3 linked regions of the Schizosaccharomyces pombe genome follow. Changing the gene in region 1 together with any one later gene gives a genetic interaction. Each region holds a gene or a part of one and is shown in the gene's direction. Other genes may lie near its edges.

The links.
Region 2: mutations in uaf2 (region 1) and SPOM_SPCC622.03C together harm fitness more than expected from each alone (negative genetic interaction), as found in Schizosaccharomyces pombe (one large-scale study listed by BioGRID).
Region 3: mutations in uaf2 (region 1) and sec72 together harm fitness more than expected from each alone (negative genetic interaction), as found in Schizosaccharomyces pombe (one large-scale study listed by BioGRID).

Annotation. Positions count from the first base shown.
Region 1 is NC_003424.3:5,322,893-5,327,987, forward strand, and holds uaf2 (U2 auxiliary factor small subunit Uaf2), read left to right. Parts: upstream 1-2,701; 5' UTR 2,702-2,718; coding exon 2,719-3,369; 3' UTR 3,370-3,543; downstream 3,544-5,095. Other genes in the region: ski7 (ski complex-interacting GTPase), read left to right, coding at 1-359, 420-1,391, 1,432-1,516, 1,554-1,914; SPOM_SPAP8A3.07C (phospho-2-dehydro-3-deoxyheptonate aldolase), read right to left, coding at 3,828-4,937.
Region 2 is NC_003421.2:1,403,542-1,409,407, reverse strand, and holds SPOM_SPCC622.03C (uncharacterized protein), read left to right. Parts: upstream 1-3,040; coding exon 3,041-3,439; 3' UTR 3,440-3,948; coding exon of another isoform or gene 3,949-4,332; 3' UTR 4,333-4,541; downstream 4,542-5,866. Other genes in the region: SPOM_SPCC622.06C (uncharacterized protein), read left to right, coding at 224-592; SPOM_SPCC622.04 (uncharacterized protein), read right to left, coding at 2,309-2,731; SPOM_SPCC622.02 (uncharacterized protein), read right to left, coding at 3,949-4,332; SPOM_SPCC622.01C (uncharacterized protein), read left to right, coding at 4,653-5,102.
Region 3 is NC_003424.3:4,385,860-4,395,782, reverse strand, and holds sec72 (Sec7 domain-containing protein sec72), read left to right. Parts: upstream 1-3,289; 5' UTR 3,290-3,358; coding exon 3,359-8,827; 3' UTR 8,828-8,941; downstream 8,942-9,923. Other genes in the region: tsn1 (translin), read left to right, coding at 191-253, 292-367, 416-652, 691-773, 816-984, 1,042-1,076; kti12 (elongator complex-associated protein Kti2), read left to right, coding at 1,894-2,065, 2,211-2,884; slr1 (RNA-binding protein), read right to left, coding at 9,697-9,923. UniProt on the Schizosaccharomyces pombe protein: Guanine exchange factor that acts as an activator of arf1 at the trans-Golgi net-work and is thus involved in vesicular budding and traffic between compartments of the Golgi apparatus.

The DNA of each region.
Region 1 (5,095 bases):
GCCTATTCAAGCTAAACATAAGAAAAACGTTGAAAATGATTTTTTGTTGCAAAGGTTTCGAAAGGTTCGCATTGCAGAGAAGAAAGACTCTGAACAACCATCGTCTCATGAAATTCATCTTACTGACGATGATGATAAAACCACACTCCAAAAACAAATGGTGGAAAGCGACCAACTGAAGAAGAACCCCCAAGAGGTAAAATTAGCTCCTCCTTCCTCATTTGCGAAATGTCTTACAGGCGCAAAGAAGCGCGTTTTTGAGGACCAAATTGAGATTCATCTAAGCAAAAGTTCACTTTTAGGATTTAACGCCCCTAGCCCTGACGACATAGTTTTGATGGCTCAATCTAAATCTAAAAGTATGCTTTGTCTCCTTCAATTCATCTTTTCCTTTTTTTTTCGCGCTAATTGTTAAACAGGTTTCCAAAAACACAAACGTTTGGACGAGCAATTGCTAAACTCTGTAAAGTCAATGAAGAAAGTTTCTCAACAATTGAAACCTCAAAAAAATACTAATGATTCAAATAATGATCACACCTTACTTTCCCAAGATCAGTTAATTGAACTTTCCAAATTAGTAAAGCCTCGAACGAAACTCTTGTTGTTGGGCCCGCCCAAGTCTGGTAAAAAAACACTCCTTTCTAGATTATTTTTTCAAATTGGATCATTTGATCCCAAAACCATGCAAAAATGTACAGTACTGAATGCCAAAAAAGAAAGTTTGAGCTCAGTGCTAAAGTCCACCAAAACGAAATGGTATGATTTTGAAACATTTTCCAACAGTTACTCCTCAACTATTATTGATTTTCCTTTAGGAATCTTCACTACTAATGCAAGTTCTCGAGATAATTTTCTAAAACATTCAAGTTTGTTTCAAGTAATGAACACAGCCATTTTCACCATTGATTGTCTGAATCCTTTGGAAGGTCTTGATGGAATATCTTCCATTTTACAATTGATGAATGGCTTATCTATTTCAAGCTATATGTTTGCTATCACTAAGATGGATGAAATTGAGTGGGATGAAAATAAATTCATTAATCTTGTTAACTCGATTCAGAGCTTTCTGAAAGAAAGTTGCGGAATAATTGAGAAATCAAAATTCATTCCGATAAGCGGACTAAAAGGAACCAATCTTACATCCATTAGTCAAGAAAAATTATCCCAGTGGTATAAATCTGATACATTGCTTGGCAAAATTGATAAAGAAGCAGATACAAATCATGGCACATGGAATTTTCTTCTTAATCTACCTCTCTCTTTAACAATTTCACACATTACTCCTTTGCCAGAAAATCAATCACATATTTACTGTAGCATCCATTCAGGCATGCTTCAGGATTCGCAAAAGCTTTATGTAGGCACAGGGAGATTAGAAACACAAATCACAGGTACGGAAGGTGTTCAATTATTTTATGTTAATCAAAAAAGGACTGAGCAGTGATGAAAATCCCAAAGGGTTTAATGTTGCTGGGGATATGATTCAAGCCAAAATCCCTACATTACCCAATTTATGGTAAGTTCTTTGCAATTCTTGTATTTCTAATAAATAGTCCTGGGATTTTAATTGCTGATAGTATCGATGCCTTTACTTCTTCGAAAACTGCTTACGTTAATGCAACTTGGTTTCACGGTTCTCTTGAAAAAGGAAAGTCGATGCATGTAATAGCCCTATTCGGCTGTCACGCAGTCCTTACCAAACTGTATTGCTTTACAGACAGTCAAGAAAAAGCTCCTAACGCAATCGGAAACGATCTTGAAAGAAATCGAACCTCACTTGTGAAAATTGAATTAGAGAATGCTTTCCCTCTCGTAAAAGAAAGCTACATTAACACCTTAAGCCGCGTTTTATTCGTTTCAGAAAAATGGAATAGCTTAATTGCGTTTGGAACAGTACTATCTCTGCATGACTGAATCCCTAACTTACGTATTATACTCAACTCCATATTAATTTTGCATTCGAAAAAATTTTCCGTCCTTTTTAAAGAAATTCTCTATAGATTGTTTTAAATATTGTAAAACTACCGATGTTGTTCATTTGCGTACATCTCAGGCATCGTGACATTTGGAAACAATTTGTTCTCGAGTAAATTTCCTGAGCAAAAAAAAGGAATGTGCTGTGTTAAGAATAATTTATCTTTTTTTCTTTTGAATCGTTGGCACATCAGTCTAATAACAGTAACTACTTATTCTTGATATTTTCCAAATTCGAATATAATTAGGGAAATACAAGGGAATATCTGTATATCGGATAGTTGTAAGCTACGCAGTTTGGTATCTGATTTAAGGATACGTAGAACTGTGGTGAGTTTTCCTTGTGATCTATTATATTACAATACACAGGTTATATAAGTAGCAACTGAGTATAGGTATTGTATTAACTGGGTTATAATGTTACCTATCACTAATATAGCTCATAACTGAACTGAGGAACGAGGTTCAGCAGTAGCTCTATTTATAGTATTCAGATAATATAGATCTTAATAGATTATCATTAAGATCAATCTCCATATCGTATCATACATGGTACGATATATAATTAGAACATGTGACATATAGTGATACGCAACGTAGTGTATCATAGCGTAGTGTAGTACTGCTGACAATAGTGTGCAAGAATAATTTAGAAAATTTGCGTAACTTAACGAGATGTTGCACGCCACCATTATAAGACTAGAATCATGTTGGATCACTTTATTTCATAACCACCATATAAAAATGGCAAGTCATTTGGCAAGTATTTATGGTACTGAGCAAGATAAAGTCAATTGCTCATTCTATTATAAAATAGGAGCTTGTAGACATGGGGAACGCTGCTCTCGTAAACATGTCAAACCAAATTTTAGTCAAACGATCTTATGTCCCAACATGTATAAAAACCCAATTCATGAACCAAATGGCAAAAAGTTCACGCAGCGTGAACTTGCAGAACAATTTGATGCATTCTACGAGGACATGTTTTGTGAGTTTTCAAAATACGGTGAAGTTGAACAATTAGTCGTCTGTGACAATGTTGGAGATCACTTAGTCGGAAATGTTTATGTAAGATTCAAGTATGAAGAGTCTGCCCAAAATGCTATTGATGATTTAAATTCCCGATGGTATTCCCAAAGACCAGTCTACGCCGAGTTATCTCCTGTAACTGATTTTCGCGAGGCATGTTGCCGGCAACACGAAACTTCGGAATGTCAGCGGGGTGGCCTTTGTAATTTTATGCATGCCAAAAAACCAAGTCCTCAGCTTTTACGCGATTTGGTACTAGCACAAAGAAAGTATTTGGCCTTAAATGCAGCAGAAGAAATGAAAAAGGAGCCCAATAGTGATTCCACGAATCGATGGGTCAGTGTAACTGCTGAACGCAAAAATTAAATAGCAACTTATGGAATGTATTTGTTTTGGATTCTGGTTTGCTTTTGTACGGTTTTACTTCGTTTATTATGATTAATCTCTGGCTATAGTTTGTTGTGATTTAGGTTATTTAAATAGATGTTGCATTCTTTTATTGTTTACTAATAAACTTGATCTTTGTACAACTGTACTCATAGACGTTTTAAATTTTGTGTCCAATGTGCCTATGGCTGATTACAAGCTAAAGGAGATCGATTAGAAACATATGAAACGATCAAACATTTCGCAAAACTTGCACAGCAATTCTTAAAAACGAAGGTGTTATTGGTAGAAGCTGTGTACGATATAAGAAAAAAAAAACAAAAAAAAATAAATAGAACCCGTATTTAAGCCAAAATTGTTCAGTTGTTGTATGTTACGAAAAAATAAGTTTCAAAAATTAAAAAAATTAAAACTGCTGAATATAACATTTATATGTCTTAATTACTTTTTTGGTTTTGACGGCGAGCACGGACAGCTTCAGCAAGATCGTCTAGCATTGGAGCAGTTTGTTCCCAGCTAACACAAGCATCAGTGATACTGACACCGTACTTGAGAGTATCCTTAACGCCAGGACGGATTGGAGCATCTTGACGACCTTCATTGATATGAGATTCAATCATAACACCAACAATGGAAGAGTCGCCATTTCTGATTTGTTCGGCGATGCTCTTGGAGACCTTTGGTTGGTTCAAATGATTCTTGCTTGAGTTGCCATGAGAGCAATCGATCATGATACGAGGAGGAAGGTTGGCCTTCTCAAGATCTTTGCGAACGGCGGCAACGTGCTCAGCATCATAGTTAGGACCCTTCTTACCACCACGCAAAATGATGAAGGTATCCTTGTTGCCCCTGGTCATGGTAATAGCGGCGAGACCTTGTTTAGTAACTCCTAGCATTGTGTGAGGATGGGCGGTAGCACCAATGGCATCAATCGCCACACCAACAGTACCATCAGTACCATTCTTGAAACCAACAGGGAAGGAAAGGGCAGAAGCCAATTCACGATGTAATTGAGACTCGGTAGTACGAGCACCGATAGCACCAAAACTGAGTAAGTCGGCGAAGAATTGGGGAGAAATGTTGTCCAACATCTCACTGGCCAAAGGAATGCCAAAATTGGTAACGTCGCAATACATTTGACGAGCCATCCTAATACCCTTGTTGATAGCAAAAGAACCATCCAAGTTAGGGTCGTTGACCAAACCCTTCCATCCGATAGTAGTACGGGGCTTCTCCAAATAACAACGCATGACAACGCACAAAGCATCCTGAAGCTCGTCAGCTTTGGGCTTCAGCAACTTAGCATAGTCCATGGCCAATTTAGGGTCATGAATGGAGCAAGGACCGACAACAACGATAATTCTGTCATCTTGTTTGTTGAGAATAGCTTGAATCTCCTTTCTGGAGTCAGTGATGACTTTGCGAGAAGTTTCAGAAACAGGAATCTCTTGTTGAACCAAAGCGGCAGGAACCAAAGGGTTGTAACCTAAGACACGGTTGTCATCAAGATGCTCTTGATCGTAAGTTTCACCGCTGGGTAAAAAAACCTAATTGAATAATGTTAGCAAATTGACATTAAAAAAAAAGACCAAACATGCTGGACATAGCAATCAACATAAAGCAATAAAAATTTCAAAAAAAAGAAACAAAAAAATTTAAAATTTCAATTGCCTAAAAATTCATCAGCAAAAACAAATTTGTTATC
Region 2 (5,866 bases), on another chromosome or scaffold:
ACAATAGACATAGGAAAATGAAATGCCTTTCCCGAACAGTGAGATTGAAAAGGCTAACTTCTCTTCAAACCCCTGCTAACTACTGCGTGCACAATCTATTAACCACAAATAATGAAATTCAATTAAATTAAGTTTTCAGCTACTGAAAAATCCATTTTTCTTATATTTTCAAATTTCGTGATTTAAAAGTGTTCAATTAACTGCGTTTTGTTAGACGAAAGATATGAGCCCAAAGGAATCCATCGAGTTGCAAGAATTCCAGTCGCTGCTTCAGGACGAAGCATATGAAGAGTTAATTAATAAAAAAACATATGAAGCTATTAAATATCGGAGTAATGATGGTATTTTACCAATTATTATTACTTTATTTATTTTCTCTTTTGTTATAAGTCGAATGATCATATTCTTTATAAGTCTCTTCAACAAAAATACGTACTGTGAACTGCCTGCTGTAGCCGATGCTATCATAAACAGCATAGCTTTAGTGTGTATTATAGTCATACTTTACTTCAGTTCTCGCAAGCTCAACGTTGAGATTCGACGAGGTGAAGTGGAAGACTATCGAGCAAATTTGGAACGAAATCAACGATGAAAAGAACAATTAATTTTTTATATTTGAATTGTATATGGGACTTTATGCATATACCGTTTTGCTAACCTTTGAAAAACTTATCAACCGCAATTCTCTCTAGTTGATAGGAGTTTATGAATTGTAGTAATGAGAAAGAAATTTCAACATCAAGAAAAGGAAGGGAGGAATTAGAGGGTGTTTAATTCTTAAACCATCTAGTTGAGATTGACATTTGACTCGTAGGGAAAACAAAATCGACATCGAATGACAAGCGAAATAGAAAATTAAGATTTACGATGAATATACTTCCTTTACGAAAAATTATTTACATCCATTTATAGGAAGAAAGTATGACTTCATGAAATTTCATTTCGATTTTAATTGCTGAGACTGGATTCTCTAATTTTTTTTTAGGTTCTTCGCTTACATAGTGTAAATAAACACTTGGATAGGCGTATAAAATACAAAACACATCCATAGACATTAAAACACCTAGAACTGAAAACAACCAACGTAAAAAAGGTGAAGGAGAGCGCTGAGAATCAAACAATTTAGGATACAAAAAGCATTCACAAGCATAGTGGATGGATAACACTGCAAAAGAGATAACCATAGTATAACAATGTTCTTTACTTTTGATCAATCTTAGGAGCATCATCTTTAGAACGGCCATACTGTGGCCATGTTTCTTAGTTAAAATGCAATGTGAACGGCACGTGTCACAAGAAACAAGAAAAATAGAACGTTCAAAGACCAAGTAAAAATATTGGCAAAAATTGTGAACGCGGTTTATAGATTAACTCCTTCATTTCGACTCAACGTTCAATGCCTCTATCAATTAAAACGAATACAAATGAATACTTAAACAAGTTTAGCAAGAAATGGAAGCTATTTAAAAAAATGTCCAGCAAAATTCAAAAAATAAAACAGTAAAAAGTGAGGTTTGTGGAAAGAAAAGTCCGTAAATGTAACTCTTAACTAAATTGTGAAACCCCTGGTCTGGTTTAAATATTTAAATCATCAACCACAGAGAAAGATTTTCCTATTATTCGACTTGAATTGATAGCAATATTTCAATCTGATAACTGAATTGATTTTCAGACATTAGAAGAACTTTGTTGACGTGGCTATTTTGCTTGTATCATATATGATGAGTCCAAGTGAATCCATTAAACTGTACGAATTCCAGTCGCTGCATTGAGGTACTGCGTACGAAAAACTGATTGAGAAAAAATCAGATGAAATTTCAAAGGGACATCACGAAAACTATTTATGGTTTGGATTTCTTCCTGGACTATGCTACGTGGATTTCCGCTTACTCATTATGATAGCAATTATGTCTGATGGCTTTAAGTCTCTTAAAACCGTGAAAGTAGATGTGTCAGATTTAACAGTAGATTTCATTCTCAGTTGTTAGCTTGCTATTCTATAATTCTCGAAAGCTCAAATTGAGATTCGACGAGGAGAAGTTGAGGAGTTTCAAAGGGATCTTGAACAAGAGAATAACTTTTCTTCTGATTACATTCAAATGAGTGACATTACACCTGTATACTAATAATTTGAGAATACATTCAATATGGTAGTTCAAAATGGAAAAATAAATAAAATACAAATTCTTTAATTTCTTTTGTTTTAAAGAAAAAAAATTGTCACACCAAGGAAGAATATAAATAATAAACCTATAAACATAACACAAAACAAAAACAAGGTCGATGCAAATGCCAAATGGATACAAAATTAACTAGATTCAAGAATTGTTAAGCCCTCTCGCGTATTTTTTTCTTTTTCTAGTTCAACTGCAGAGGATGAGGCGTACTCTAAAGGTTCATTAGATTGACTTTTAAGGAAATCCTGATTCTTTGACTCTTGCTTCTTTCGATAGTCAGGTTCAGCTTCCGGCTTAGGAATACTATTCAAATAATGAAATCCCATAAAACTTACAAGAAGAATTATTAAAGTCAAGAAAAAATAGACGAATAATAATGAATGACTAAATCCCTCAAAATAATACTTAACATCAACAACACAATTGGCAAAAATTATGAAAAGGAAAACGTACAAGAGCCATTGAGTTTTTTTAAACACATCGTTCGCAACATCTGAACACTCCCTATAGGTAAAATCCTCCTTGATAACTATTTCAATGTCAGGTTGTGTCATGTTGATAAATATAACACAAAATTTAGCAGATATTGGCCAGAAAATGAAAATGCTTTTGCATAAGAAGAATAAATATTTATCAAATAATACAGAATATTTAGGTCGGGATTGTGTAGGCAGAGAAATTGAATATATTGGTTGAATATCAAAATCGTTAAACCTCTGGTCTTGCGCTCCAATTACTCATTAACAACGATTGTCGAAATCCTTTGACTTTTAAGCATTTTATTTCATATTAATATTTTTTCGCAATTTTTCTTGTTTTTAAACGGATTTGTTCAAACTAGCTGTTTTGCCTCCCACAAAAATATGAATCCAAAGAAATCCATTCAACTATGGGAACTCCAGTCGTTACTTAAAGGTGCCACATACAAAAAACTAATTGAAAAGAAAACGTATGAAGCCGGTAAGGAACGAGCTGATAATTATGACTTTTTGTTTATGTCTTTTATCTCCTTCATCGTGTCTTGCCGTCTTTTCATTCTTGTGTTTACTTTCATCTTTAAAGGTTTTCCATCAGCTATTCAAGTAATTGCTATGATCGATGCTGTCGTAAATGCTTTACTCATACTCATAGTACTTGCGATGCTCTTTATAGGTTCTCGTAAACTGACAGTTGAAATTCGACGAGGTGAAGTTGAGGACTTTCAAGAGAATCTTAAAGCAAGAGAAGATACATTCAACTCTTCTCCATATCAGAGGTATTAATAACACCTTCATATATCGCTTTTGGGCACCTATTCCTTTACGCCTGTTTCACTTTGTTATAAAATATTTCGTTTCCATTCCGCTGCCTTTAATCTTATTACTCCTTTAATATTTATTCAACATTTAAGTCACTACTAATCTAAAAATTAACTTAATAATTCAATACTATTTTTATCTAAAACGTATTCGTTTCATAAACTTGTCTCGTAATGCGAAATGGAAGTGTGTTGAATACATCGACCCTGAACGAACTCATCTTCCAAAATTTAGAGCACTGTTCGATATACTGGTTTGTACTATTCCTATATTTTCGACACCTCTTCATATTTCATTTTGAACTTCAATTCATTTAATATATCATTCACAGATTAATTAATAAAATACAAATTATCATCTATTCTACATGTCTGCCTCAAAAACTCGGCTCACAATGTCACCGATTATGGCATTCTCCTTATTATATTAGACAAGCACTTCAAAAACATAATTGAAACAAAATATACGGCCAATTAAGGTGCTTCTTGAGCGGGACTGGACATTTGTTGCATAGGAATTTGCACCAAATCCTCTGGAACGGTGACTTTAAGCGGATGTTTCGACAAGAAATAGTAAAGGATGTTTCCAACAAGCATCAACGTAGAGCACAAAATTATGGGCAACCCGTGCTCCATTGTGTCTTTCCTGGATGAAGGATGCGACATTTCTCGAATGAAAGCGATCAGGCAGTAAATGAACGCAATTCCGAGCCCAGCAAAGTTACTAATCAAAAGAGGAAGTGTGTATTGAAATTTGTTTAAAGAGGACACCCATAACTTGTGAGAAACTTCTGGGTCTGGGGAAGAATTCGGTGTATTATCAATAATTGCTTCAAGTTTCGAGATATTTGCTGCCATCGTGAAACTGTTCAGCAGAAAGAAAAGAATCAAAACAGATGTCCAAGAATAGAAAAAAAGAAAAGAAAATCAAACTGTGAATGTCGCTCCTTCAGCGCTTTCCAACACCGGATTTCTTGCTTCGGGTAGGTAGGGTTCAAGGACATTTTCCACATTTGGGCTAACCGCAGTATCCTCCCTCTTTACTCAGTGTAGCAGCGGGTATAGTGAAAACCACATCGGAATGACGTTGTTGTAATAAAAAATACCTGAAAACTTTACTTTGACTTTTTGAAACGTACTTATTCCTAATTCCTTCCTGTAAATTCACTTTTCCTACGATGACTGTGGATAATGTATTCATCCATGCCGTCCCTCGCGAGCAAATTCGACGACGTTACTCTTACTTCGAAGCATTTGAAAAGAATTGTCATATACAAGGAATTCTTTCAAAACGAGCTCTTTACATGCTAATCCCATGCTTCATGGAGTTTGCGGTTGGCTCCATCGTTTATAGTTTTGGTGTGCCGGGATGGGTGTTGGGAATGAATACTGTGTTGGCGGCTGGATTCCTTGTGATGTTCCTGTTCCTTGTGTGGCCGTGTTTTCAACTTGTAGATGAAAGACAAATTGAGGAACCGGGAGAAGATGAAATGGCGCTCAATGCCGGTGGTTATTATCCTTATGCCGAAGAGGTACCTCCTCCCAGTTATCCATCGCTCGAAGAGGAGAACGAAGGAAACGAAGAAATAGAAGAAAGTGAAGAAATGAACACCCTTTTATCAAAATAAAAAAAGTGGTTCATATGAATGGTGTGACGGTGGCGCTGATTTTCAATCCGACTCAATCCATTCAAATGAGAATTCCGTAAATGCAGTGCAATAAGAAAGCATTGGGAATGTGATTAGCCAACGATATGTCTTACTGTGTTTGATTCTCGTATTTTCATTTAATTTATTGTGTCTCGAAGAACAAAGAGGAAATTACCCGCGATATTTATTTACTTACATTGGCGTTCCCTTTAACTTCCAAAACACTTTTTTTTAATCAAGGAGATTTGGTTTTATTATATTAAATTGTCTTTGTACTTGCAATTATACTTTTTTTCGATTTTTTATTTGTCGTTTACTTCCAACTCAATGAATCATGATCTTTCAAACATAGCTGGCCTCTTCAATCCTTGATGATGCGTGTTTGCATGTATATTTGCATACAATTATCCATATCCTTAGACAAGTACGGGTTATATATAGTATTGAGGCTACATCTACTGCTTGTTTAGCGTTGATAAAATTGATCGCACACATGCATAAGGCCCATTCACCATGCTTGCATAAATCGATTGCAGAGCTTTACCATTGTTTCCGACTAATATAAAACTAAGCAAAGATAGGAATTCCATAATAGCTCAGTTTTTCCACCTCGCAAACATTGCATTTCACTTCCTTTATTTATTTACTCACCTTATACCGAGCGCTCTAATACTGAGATAACGGCTATATTAAGAGTTGCCTTAGCGAAACGGGGTGCAAAACCCATAGTTATCCATGCGTCC
Region 3 (9,923 bases), 940 kb from region 1:
AGCAGCTAGTAATAATTTTAGTTAATAACTTGCAAAATACCCGCTAAATTGATTATCTTTATTTTACGACTTAAGAAAAAGGTTGGTATAATCTGGCTGATAAATATCACAACGGTCGTGTTATTTGCATACTGAAAACATCATTCGAATATCAACACTACTCAACAGCATACATTACAGATTAAGTCGAATGAATAAATCAATATTTATTCAGCTACAAGATCAAATTGATAAAGAACATAGTATTCGGGAGGTACTAATCTTGGAAATTATGACAAACTAACATTACAGAAACTGACTGCAGAGGTCGATTTGTTAGACGAAAAGTTAAGAGTTTTGCAACTTCTCTTGGCAAACTGTGAACAAAGTAGAAATGAAAATTTACAAGAAAAAGAACATGGACTAACTTTGGAAGATTTAGAAAATCAGGAAGAAATTTTAGAAGCTCTTGAGATCATTAAAAGCAAAACCAGAGGATTAGCAGAATTGGCATCGAATTTTCCATACTATAAATATAACGGAGTCTGGGATCGATCAATTCAGAAAGTTGTTTATTTATATTTGCTAGCTTCCTGGACCGGTCGTTTAGATAAAAGTTTAAGACCCACGTACAGCCTTCTATCGCTTTCCGAAGTTGGTCAAATTTTGCAAGGTGCGTAAATTATTTTACATTTTTCTCACAATCTTCAGTCCCGGTTTTTCCAGAAGAGTCCACTTTTCATCTTTCAATTGAGCAATATTTGCACGCAGTACTATCTCTGTGTTCTGAACTGGTATATATTCTATTCAACAATCCAAATTGACACAATTTCTAGGCTCGTCAATCTGTAAACTCAGTAATATCTGGAAACTATCATATTCCATTTGAGGCCCTAAATACTATTCAAAAAGTTCATTCTTCTTTTCAAGTACTCTCTTTGAAAAACGACTCCTTAAGAAGACATTTCGATGGATTAAAATATGATTTGAAAAGATCTGAGGACGGTATGAAATTTACGTGGATTTTTTTTTTTTTTGATAGTTTATTTCTGACATATGCAGTTGTTTATGATCTTCGGATACATAAATTGGTTTAAATTGCTAACAATTTATTTGCCAGCTGTACGCTTGACTAAAATTGAGCCGATAAAATTGCTTTTTTAATATTAGGTCTGCTTATTTGCTATGAAACTGGCAGTCCTATGATGAATGCAATTATATTTCTCTTTCTTTAATTTTGTTACACTCTCTGGCAAACTGAATAGTTATTTAAAAAAAAAATATTTCAGCCTAGGTTTCTTTAAGTTCTGATTTTTCTTTACCCAATATTCAAGACGTTTTCCAGGGTACTAAATTAATCATTGGACTGGTATACAACATGTGTTATAAGTTAGTCGCATTTTACCAGATACATGTTAATGGCGGCATAAGTAGATACTTTTCTAACTTTTAATCAACTGCATTTAGCTTATATTTCTTGATGTCCTATGCACCTTTAAAATCTTTCAACAAATGATTACTATTTTTAAATTGAACAACCCTGATTGCGTAGAAGGCGTGCATGTTTTTTTAGCGATTAAAATCCGGGGTCTTACTAGTGTTAATCCTTAATTCTTTTAGAACAATTGATAAGGTAAAGGGAAGCAAGATTAAATTAAAGAGACCGCAAATTGAAATTACTGTGTTTTTAAGCCTAAGCAATACTTACTAGTCGTAAGTAATAAGTCAGTACCGAAATTGAGCGCATTACGAAATACAAATTAAGGATAAAAATTAACTGTTTACTAATGTTTAACGAACTAGTAATTTTCGTTAAATTCATGAAAAAATATATCAAAAAAAAGCTGGAAGTTTTCAAACATATGTTTTACGGCTGATTTTATTCAACCTTCTATTTTGTAGAACATAAAGAAAATGCCATTAATAATTGTTTCAGGTTATCCATCTTCAGGGAAAACAACGAGGTCAAATGAACTTAAAAAGGCTTTAGAAGATCGAATTCATCAAAATATCGACAATACAAAGGATTATCGGGTGATAATAATAAACGATGAGAGTTTAAACATTGAAAAAGAAACATATCGAGGTATGTTTAAATAGTTATCTTTAATGATTTAGTTTTTGGAAATTAGCCAATTCATTTTTGGCTTCAGATTGTGCCCAGCTACTCTAGATGATGGGAGAATCCGTATATGCAATTTTTCGTAATTCTGGTAACTAATTTGTCTTAGAGTCCAAGAACGAAAAGGCCGCTCGTGGCCTTCTCTATTCTGCTGTTCAGCGTGAACTTTCAAAATCTACATTCGTAATTTGCGATGCCTTGAATTACATAAAAGGATTTCGATACCAGTTATATTGTGAATCAAAGTCTATGTACACAACTCATTGTGTGATTCATGTTGCTGTTCCTCAAGATTTATGTCGAAAATTCAATAGTAACAAGGAACAGCCGTATCCTGACGATGTTCTTGAGCAATTAATGTTTCGTTATGAAGAACCGAATGGAATGACACGATGGGATTCCCCTTTATTTACTGTCTTGCACGATGATGCTTCTTGTCCTATCGATGACATCTGGTCAGTTCTTATTCATAACAAAAATGTCAAGCCTAACCAAGCTACAATGGTAAAACCTCCAGCTGAAGTCAACTATTTATATGAATTAGATAAAACTACTCAAGACGTAATCATGCTTATACTGGATAATTCCAACGATACCTCCTTGATTACTGTACCAGGGAGCAAACTTCAAATCGCATTACCCAGTGTTACAGTATCTCTTCCTTTACTTCAAAGATTGCGCCGTCAATTTATCCAAATTAACCGGCAACAATCATATAATACCAATGTTCTCAAGGAAATGTTTGTCGAATTTTTAAATGGTCAATTTGAAACCTTGGACTGATATCCTTTTCTTAAACTTTATGATATTTTTTTTTGGGATTTTTAAGGGGACGAAAAAATGTAGCCTAATATTAATACTTAACTTTGTTTGTTTCTTTTTTTTAGAACATGTTTAAAATGGTAGAAATCGTACATTTTGTTTAATTCCTTAATCCTTTTACAGTTTAAGGAATGCTGTCCTGTAAAAAAGAAATAAGAAAACGTTCACGGTCAATATCGACAATAAAAGTTTCAGTAAAACAACGAATATTGTATAAATCTAGTTATAATGTTTACTATTTAATCCATACTGTAATAAAACAATTTATTATAAGTCTCGCTCGTTTGCTTTATATAAGTAGCACATTGAACCGAGATCTAACGTTCGACACATTAAGGCCGAAAACACTTAGCAAAGACATACTCCGCCTTATATTTCATTGCTAAAAGTTGGCTCGTCTAGACGGCAATTGGCTTGAACGTGACCGATGCCAAAATGCAGGATGCCTCTGAACCTGTGATCAATATGCCTGCTCTGCCTATGAACTCCGTGAATGAGCAACATGACAGACACGAAGATCTTCCAGAAGTTGGAACAACATCAGTTACTAAAATTATTAATGATTCTGACAACGAAGATGATGAAAATGGTATGGATCTCGGTCGTGTTGCTTCTGAAAGTTTAGAAGGCGATGCTGTGGTAAGTATTGATATAAATACAGAAGATTCGTCGTTGTCGCCAGCGAAACAAGAAAACGAAAAGAGTCCCGAAGGAATCGAGCAGAAATATCAAGAAGAAGACTTGAAAGACGACAAAAAATCCAATGAAACTATCGCGACGCCTGTACCTGACGCTGCATCGAGGGCCAGTTTGGAAAAGCAAAAATCAGGTTTAACCAATTTGGAAAAATCCACTCATGTAGTGCTTATAAAGTGCATCGAGCAGCTTATACAAATAAAAGTTTGTATGAAGAACGAGAAGATGAAGAATTTAATGGAGCAACTAAAACCTCTTCTACAAACCGAATGTCAGTTTGACAAATTTTTGATAGTAGAGTTATTTCAGTACTGCTTTGAATCCAGTCAAGATGAAGTTATGAACATTTCTTTAGACACTATTTCTAAACTTGCTTCATTCGCCTATTTTTCTTCAAAAGATAAAACACCTGCCTCATTTGGGCCCCCTAAATCCCTTCTACAGTGTATGGTTGATATGGTATGCGATAGTATCAATGATGAAGTTGTTGATGGAAATCTGCAATTGAATGTTGTAAAAGCTTTATCTGCCTTTATCTTATGTTCTGAGCAGGATAGTATGCTTCATGGAGCGATATTATTGAATTCTGTTCGTAAACTCTTTAATGTCTTTCTTCTCGGGGATAGTGATACTATACAGTCAGTTGCTCAAGCTTCTTTGACTCAGGCTGTCACTGTAGTCTATGAACGATTACGCGCGAGCCACACTCAGTCGAACTCTACATCTGCTTTACCGGAAGAAGATGCATCGGTGACGGAAAATTGGGTTCACGATGAGGATGAGCCTGACAAGAAAATTACTCTTCATTCTATGGCATCTGCTGGCACTTCATCATTAGATCATGTTAAAGTTGACGCAGATGACCCAGCTGTCACCAGTGTTGAGAATTCCTCTATCCAAGACGCGTTTTTAGTGTTCCGATCCATGTGTCGACTTGCTGTCAGACAAACCTCGCCTGATAAAGTCAGTAATATCAGATCTCAAGCTATGCGCGCGAAATTAATTAGTCTCCATCTTATATATCGCATTTTAGAAAAAAATAGTGACTTATTCATGGATCCTACTCTCCAATTTCGTGGTATCCCAGCACTTAAAGGAATGACCCTTGTTCATGCCTCCCGTCAATATATTTGCCTAGTATTATCTCGCAATGCTGTAAGTCCTGTTCCCCAGGTGTTTGAAGTCTGTTGTGACATTTTTTATCTTATGGTTTTTTCTTTGCGTGCCCACTTCAAACAGGAAATTGAAGTGTTTTTTCGAGAAGTTTATTTTCCGATGTTAGACCTCAAGAACACCTCCTACAATCAGAAGCTCCATACCTTGTTAATCATCCAGAGAATCTGTCTTAATCCAAGAGCTCTTGTAGAGTTGTATATAAATTACGATTGTGATCGTTCTTCCACTACCAACGTTTTCGAACAATTGCTGTTTTCAATCTCAAAAGTTACTACCAATGGTCCTTCGGAAACGATATCCGAAGATATTGAAGAAATTCTTCCTTCTTTAGAATCTTCTGAACGGAGTAGTACCCCTTTTCTAAATACGAACTCTGCTTCGTTAAAGTCCGAAGTGGTTCAACTTACCACATTTAGCGATTTTCAATTGAAGCTAAAGACTTTGCAATGCGTCCTTGACATTTTGCAATCTTTATCAAATTGGGCCGAAAGTGGTCTTTATTTATCTCGCCGAGGTGTGTCAACGGATGAGCAAGGTTTTGTTGGAGATTATGATGCGCTTTCCAGGTCTGATACTCCTGTGACGAATCCTTATTATAACGGAAAACAATCGTTTGAAGCAAATTCCCATAGCAGTAGTTCTATCGCACTTGCAGATCCTTCACAATTTGAATCAAACAAACAACGAAAGAAGCTATTACGGACTTGTATAAACAAGTTCAATTACAAACCTACTAGAGGTCTTAAGATGCTTTCAGAAAATGAATATGTTGACATAAATGATCCTAAAGCTATCGCTGAATTTCTGTTTCGTGCTGATGGTATTGACAAAACTACTTTAGGAGATTACTTAGGAGAAGGGGATGAGAAAAGTATTTCCGTGATGCATGAATTTATTGATTGTTTATCTTTTATAAATTTAAAGTTTGTAGACGCTTTACGTCGTCTATTGCAGTGTTTCAGACTACCCGGTGAAGCCCAAAAAATTGATCGAATTATGCTGAAATTTTCCGAAAGGTATATGAAGGAGAATCCGTCTGCATTCGCTAATGCTGATACTGCCTACATTCTTGCTTATTCTATAATATTGCTTAATACTGATTTGCATTCTCCTCGTATTAAAAACAAAATGACAAAAGAAGACTTCATTAAAAATAATCGTGGAATTAATGACGGTGCTGATTTAGATGAAGACTATCTTGGTTTTGTATATGATGACATTCTTAAAAATGAAATTGCTATGAAAGATGATCAAGAACTCGCAGCGATTGCTCCTTTAATGAATAATTTCAGCACATCTAGTGGATTCACCACATTTACTTCTAATGGACGAGATCTGCAAAGAGTAGCTTGTATTCAAGCTTCGGAGGAAATGGCTAATAAGGCTACAAGTGTGCTAAAAAAGCTATTGTATCAACAGAAACATGGATCACAAAAAACAAATGTTTATTACAATGCTACTCATTTTGAACATATAGGTCCCATGCTTGAGGCTACTTGGATGCCTATACTTGCTGCTCTTTCAAACCCTTTACAAAATTCTGATTATGTTAATGAACTTAATATGTGTCTTGATGGATTTCAGCTTGTTGTCCGTATAGCTTGTCTCTTTGACCTTGACCTTATTCGAGACGCTTTTATAAAAACTCTGACTAATTTTACTAATCTGCATTCTACCAGTGAAATCAAATTACGTAATACTATGGTTATAAAAACATTACTGAGAATTGCATCTACCGAAGGTAATAATTTGAAAGATTCTTGGAAAGATATCCTTACTATTATAAGTCAACTAGAACGCGTGCAACTGATTGGTGTTGGTGTCGATGAAACAGAAGTACCTGATGTTATAAATGCACGTGTTCGTCGAAAGAATGTGAACATTGGTTCTTCAAACTCAATTCGGCATGTTAGTGGAAGTACTTCTCGTTCGACTAGAACTCGCTCACTATCTAAACCTTTATCCCCAGAGGCAGTTTCAGAACTAATGTCCACTGAGGTAGTGTTGAGCATTGATAGAATATTTACCCAAACATCTTCTCTTTCTGGCTCTGCGATAGTATCATTCTTTAAAGCATTATGTGAAGTTTCTTGGGATGAAATAACATCTTCTAGTGATTTGGAGCAGCCAAGGCTATATAGTCTACAAAAGCTGGTTGAGATATCCTATTATAACATGCAAAGGATTAGAGTGGAATGGTCATCAATTTGGAACGTTTTGGGTAGATTCTTCAACATGGTGGGTAGTGATGAGAATAGGCATGTTGCTGTTTTTGCATTGGATTCCCTGAGGCAGCTTTCTATGCATTTTCTCGAAATTGAGGAGTTGTCTCTCTTTTCCTTTCAGAAAGAATTCCTTAAGCCATTTGAGTACGTTATGGCTTCCGATACCGTAGTAGAAGTCAAAGAACTTGTTTTACAATGTGTTAAGCAAATGATTCAAGCTAAAATTTCCAAAATAAAATCTGGATGGAAAACTTTGTTTGGCGTTTTTACATTTGCGGCTAAGGCTAGAAGCGAAATATTAATTTCTATGACTTTTGATACCCTTGTCAATCTTTTTTCCGAGCATTATGATACTTTAATGCAGCAAAATTGTTTGATAGATATGTTGATATCCTTCACTGAATTATGCAAAAATGGAACAAACCAGAAAATCTCTTTACAAAGTTTGGAAATTATTAGAGAAGTTTATTCAAGTCTTTCAACTATGATAAAGGAAGGACTTAGTTCCAAGCCTTCAGTAAATGAGACATTTTCTAAATATGTTTTCCCAGTTTTATTTGCATATTATGATATAATAATGTCAGCTGAAGACTTGGAAGTAAGGTCAAGAGCTCTTCAAAACTTATTTTATATATTCTTAGAAGAGTCTGATGATTTCACTGAAGAAACTTGGGAAGTTGTTTCACGAAAATTTATATTCCCGATATTCTCAATATTTGGACCAGAAGCGGATGAAGCGACTGTTATGTTAAGGGATGAGGAGATCAGGACTTGGCAATCTACTACTCTTGTTGAAGCGTTACGAAGTCTCGTCACTTTGTTAACACGCCGTTTTGACAAACTTCACAATTTGCTAAAAGGTTATCTATGGTTATTTAGCAATTGCATTTGTAGAGATAATATTACACTTTCTCGCATAGGAACAAATTGTATGCAGCAGCTACTTTCTGGAAATGCGTATAGGTTTGAAGTTAAAGATTGGAATCTGGTCGCTGATATGTTTATTGAGTTATTCAAGGAAACCACCCCTCATCAGCTTCTTCTTCTAGAAACATTTTCCAATGGGCAAGGAGCCCCTGTTTACTCCGAAAATGAAAATACTCAATTGAGCCATAAGCGAGGCGGTTCTCTACCGGAAACTTCTCGTTCAATTTCGACATCCTCAATTTCCCCTGAGAAACAGATGGAGTTCCGTTCAATGATTCGAAAATGTATTCTTCAACTACTTTTAATAAGTATTGTTGCTGAATTGTTAGATAACGAGGAAGTTTTTAATCATATCCCCCATGAACATGTATTGAAAATAACTGTGGCTATTTACGACTCATGGCAGTTTGCTCGCAAGTTTAATGAAGACAAATCTTTACGTATTACGCTTTTGAACGTTGGATTTATGAAGCAACTCCCTAATTTATTGAGACAAGAAACGGCTAGTGCATTGTTGTACATCACTTTGCTCTTCCGCTTATTAAAAACCAGAGACCCTTTAGGTAAAACAGAAACGGATCAGAAAATTCATAAACTTCTTTTTCCGGTTTGTGCCGAAATGCTGGATATGTATGCTTCCTTGGTTGTTGAGAAACATACGCGTAACCATGCTGCATGGCAGCCTGTCATTGCTACAATCCTGGACAGTATACTGAATCTTCCTTTAGAATTATTTTCCGAAAACATTCACACTCTTTACTTTTCTTGTTGTTCTATGATTGCAAAGGAGAACCTTGATGATCAACTTAGAGAACTACTTAAAAATTACTTTAATCGTGTGGGTCACATTCTATTAAACCTGAATGCCCAACAGGAATAAATAAAGTGATTTTCAATTAATTTCAATAAATTAGCTTCTAGTAAAACAAATAATCCTTTTATAATTTTAGATAACTTATTGGTAAACTTTCTTTTTTATTCTAAAAAATTGCCCTTCTTTTAAATAAGTTTTTTTCAAAACTTGAACAACCTCTTAATATTCTGCATGTAAGCTAATCAGTATTTGTAGTAATCCAACGCCAGAAGGAAGATGCTACTGCCACACACACCAGAGACCTTTTTTTTAACGATCAATTAAAGATTTTTCGTGAAATATCCTCTTCTATTATTCATTTCATGTCCCTGCGGCCTTTAAATATAGAATAGCTTAAAGTAAAGACGAGTACATTATGAGTTGAAGCATCAAGGTACAAATGGTAAATTTACTTTACAGAAAACATATTAAACTCACAAAATTTTGCCATGACAAAATAATAAAGGGAGCCAGTGATTTGGAAGATATAATCAGGAAGCATGAAGTTACAGCGTATCACAGTTGAAAATAATAACAGAAACTATATGCAAATCATAAACAATGATTTTTTTTAAGTAAAAAAAAATTAGAATTTAGCATAAATGACACATCACTTTAGATAATCATTTAATCCAGTAATCCCATTTATCGAAAACGACATATACTCTTATAATAAGTACAATATTTTCTTTTTTTTTTTTTTTTTTTTTTTTTCTTTTAACCGAAAGAAATAAACCCATTACGCTTCAGTAACCAAAACCAAACTATAGAAGTCAAGTTTCAATAAACAATCCTTGCCTTTTAAATAAAAAAAAGTACAGGCGTCAATAAAAGAACAGACCCAGAATGAACGAAAAATATTGATGCCTCGAGAAATAAAAAAAATATCAAAAATTCTAAACAGTAAGTTTATCCTCAACCTCAGTTTGAACATCTCTTTTTATAATTGAATCCACAGAAGAAGGAATGAATGGAGGAGAAATTGTCAAATTTGAAATGGAACTGGCAAGAGGGGACATGCTGGAGCTAGAGTTTATCTGAGGATACTTGGCCATTTCAAACTTCAAGCGTGACTCTGAAGGTAAAATCCAAGGAGACCAAGTTTCCTTTCTTCTAACCTTAA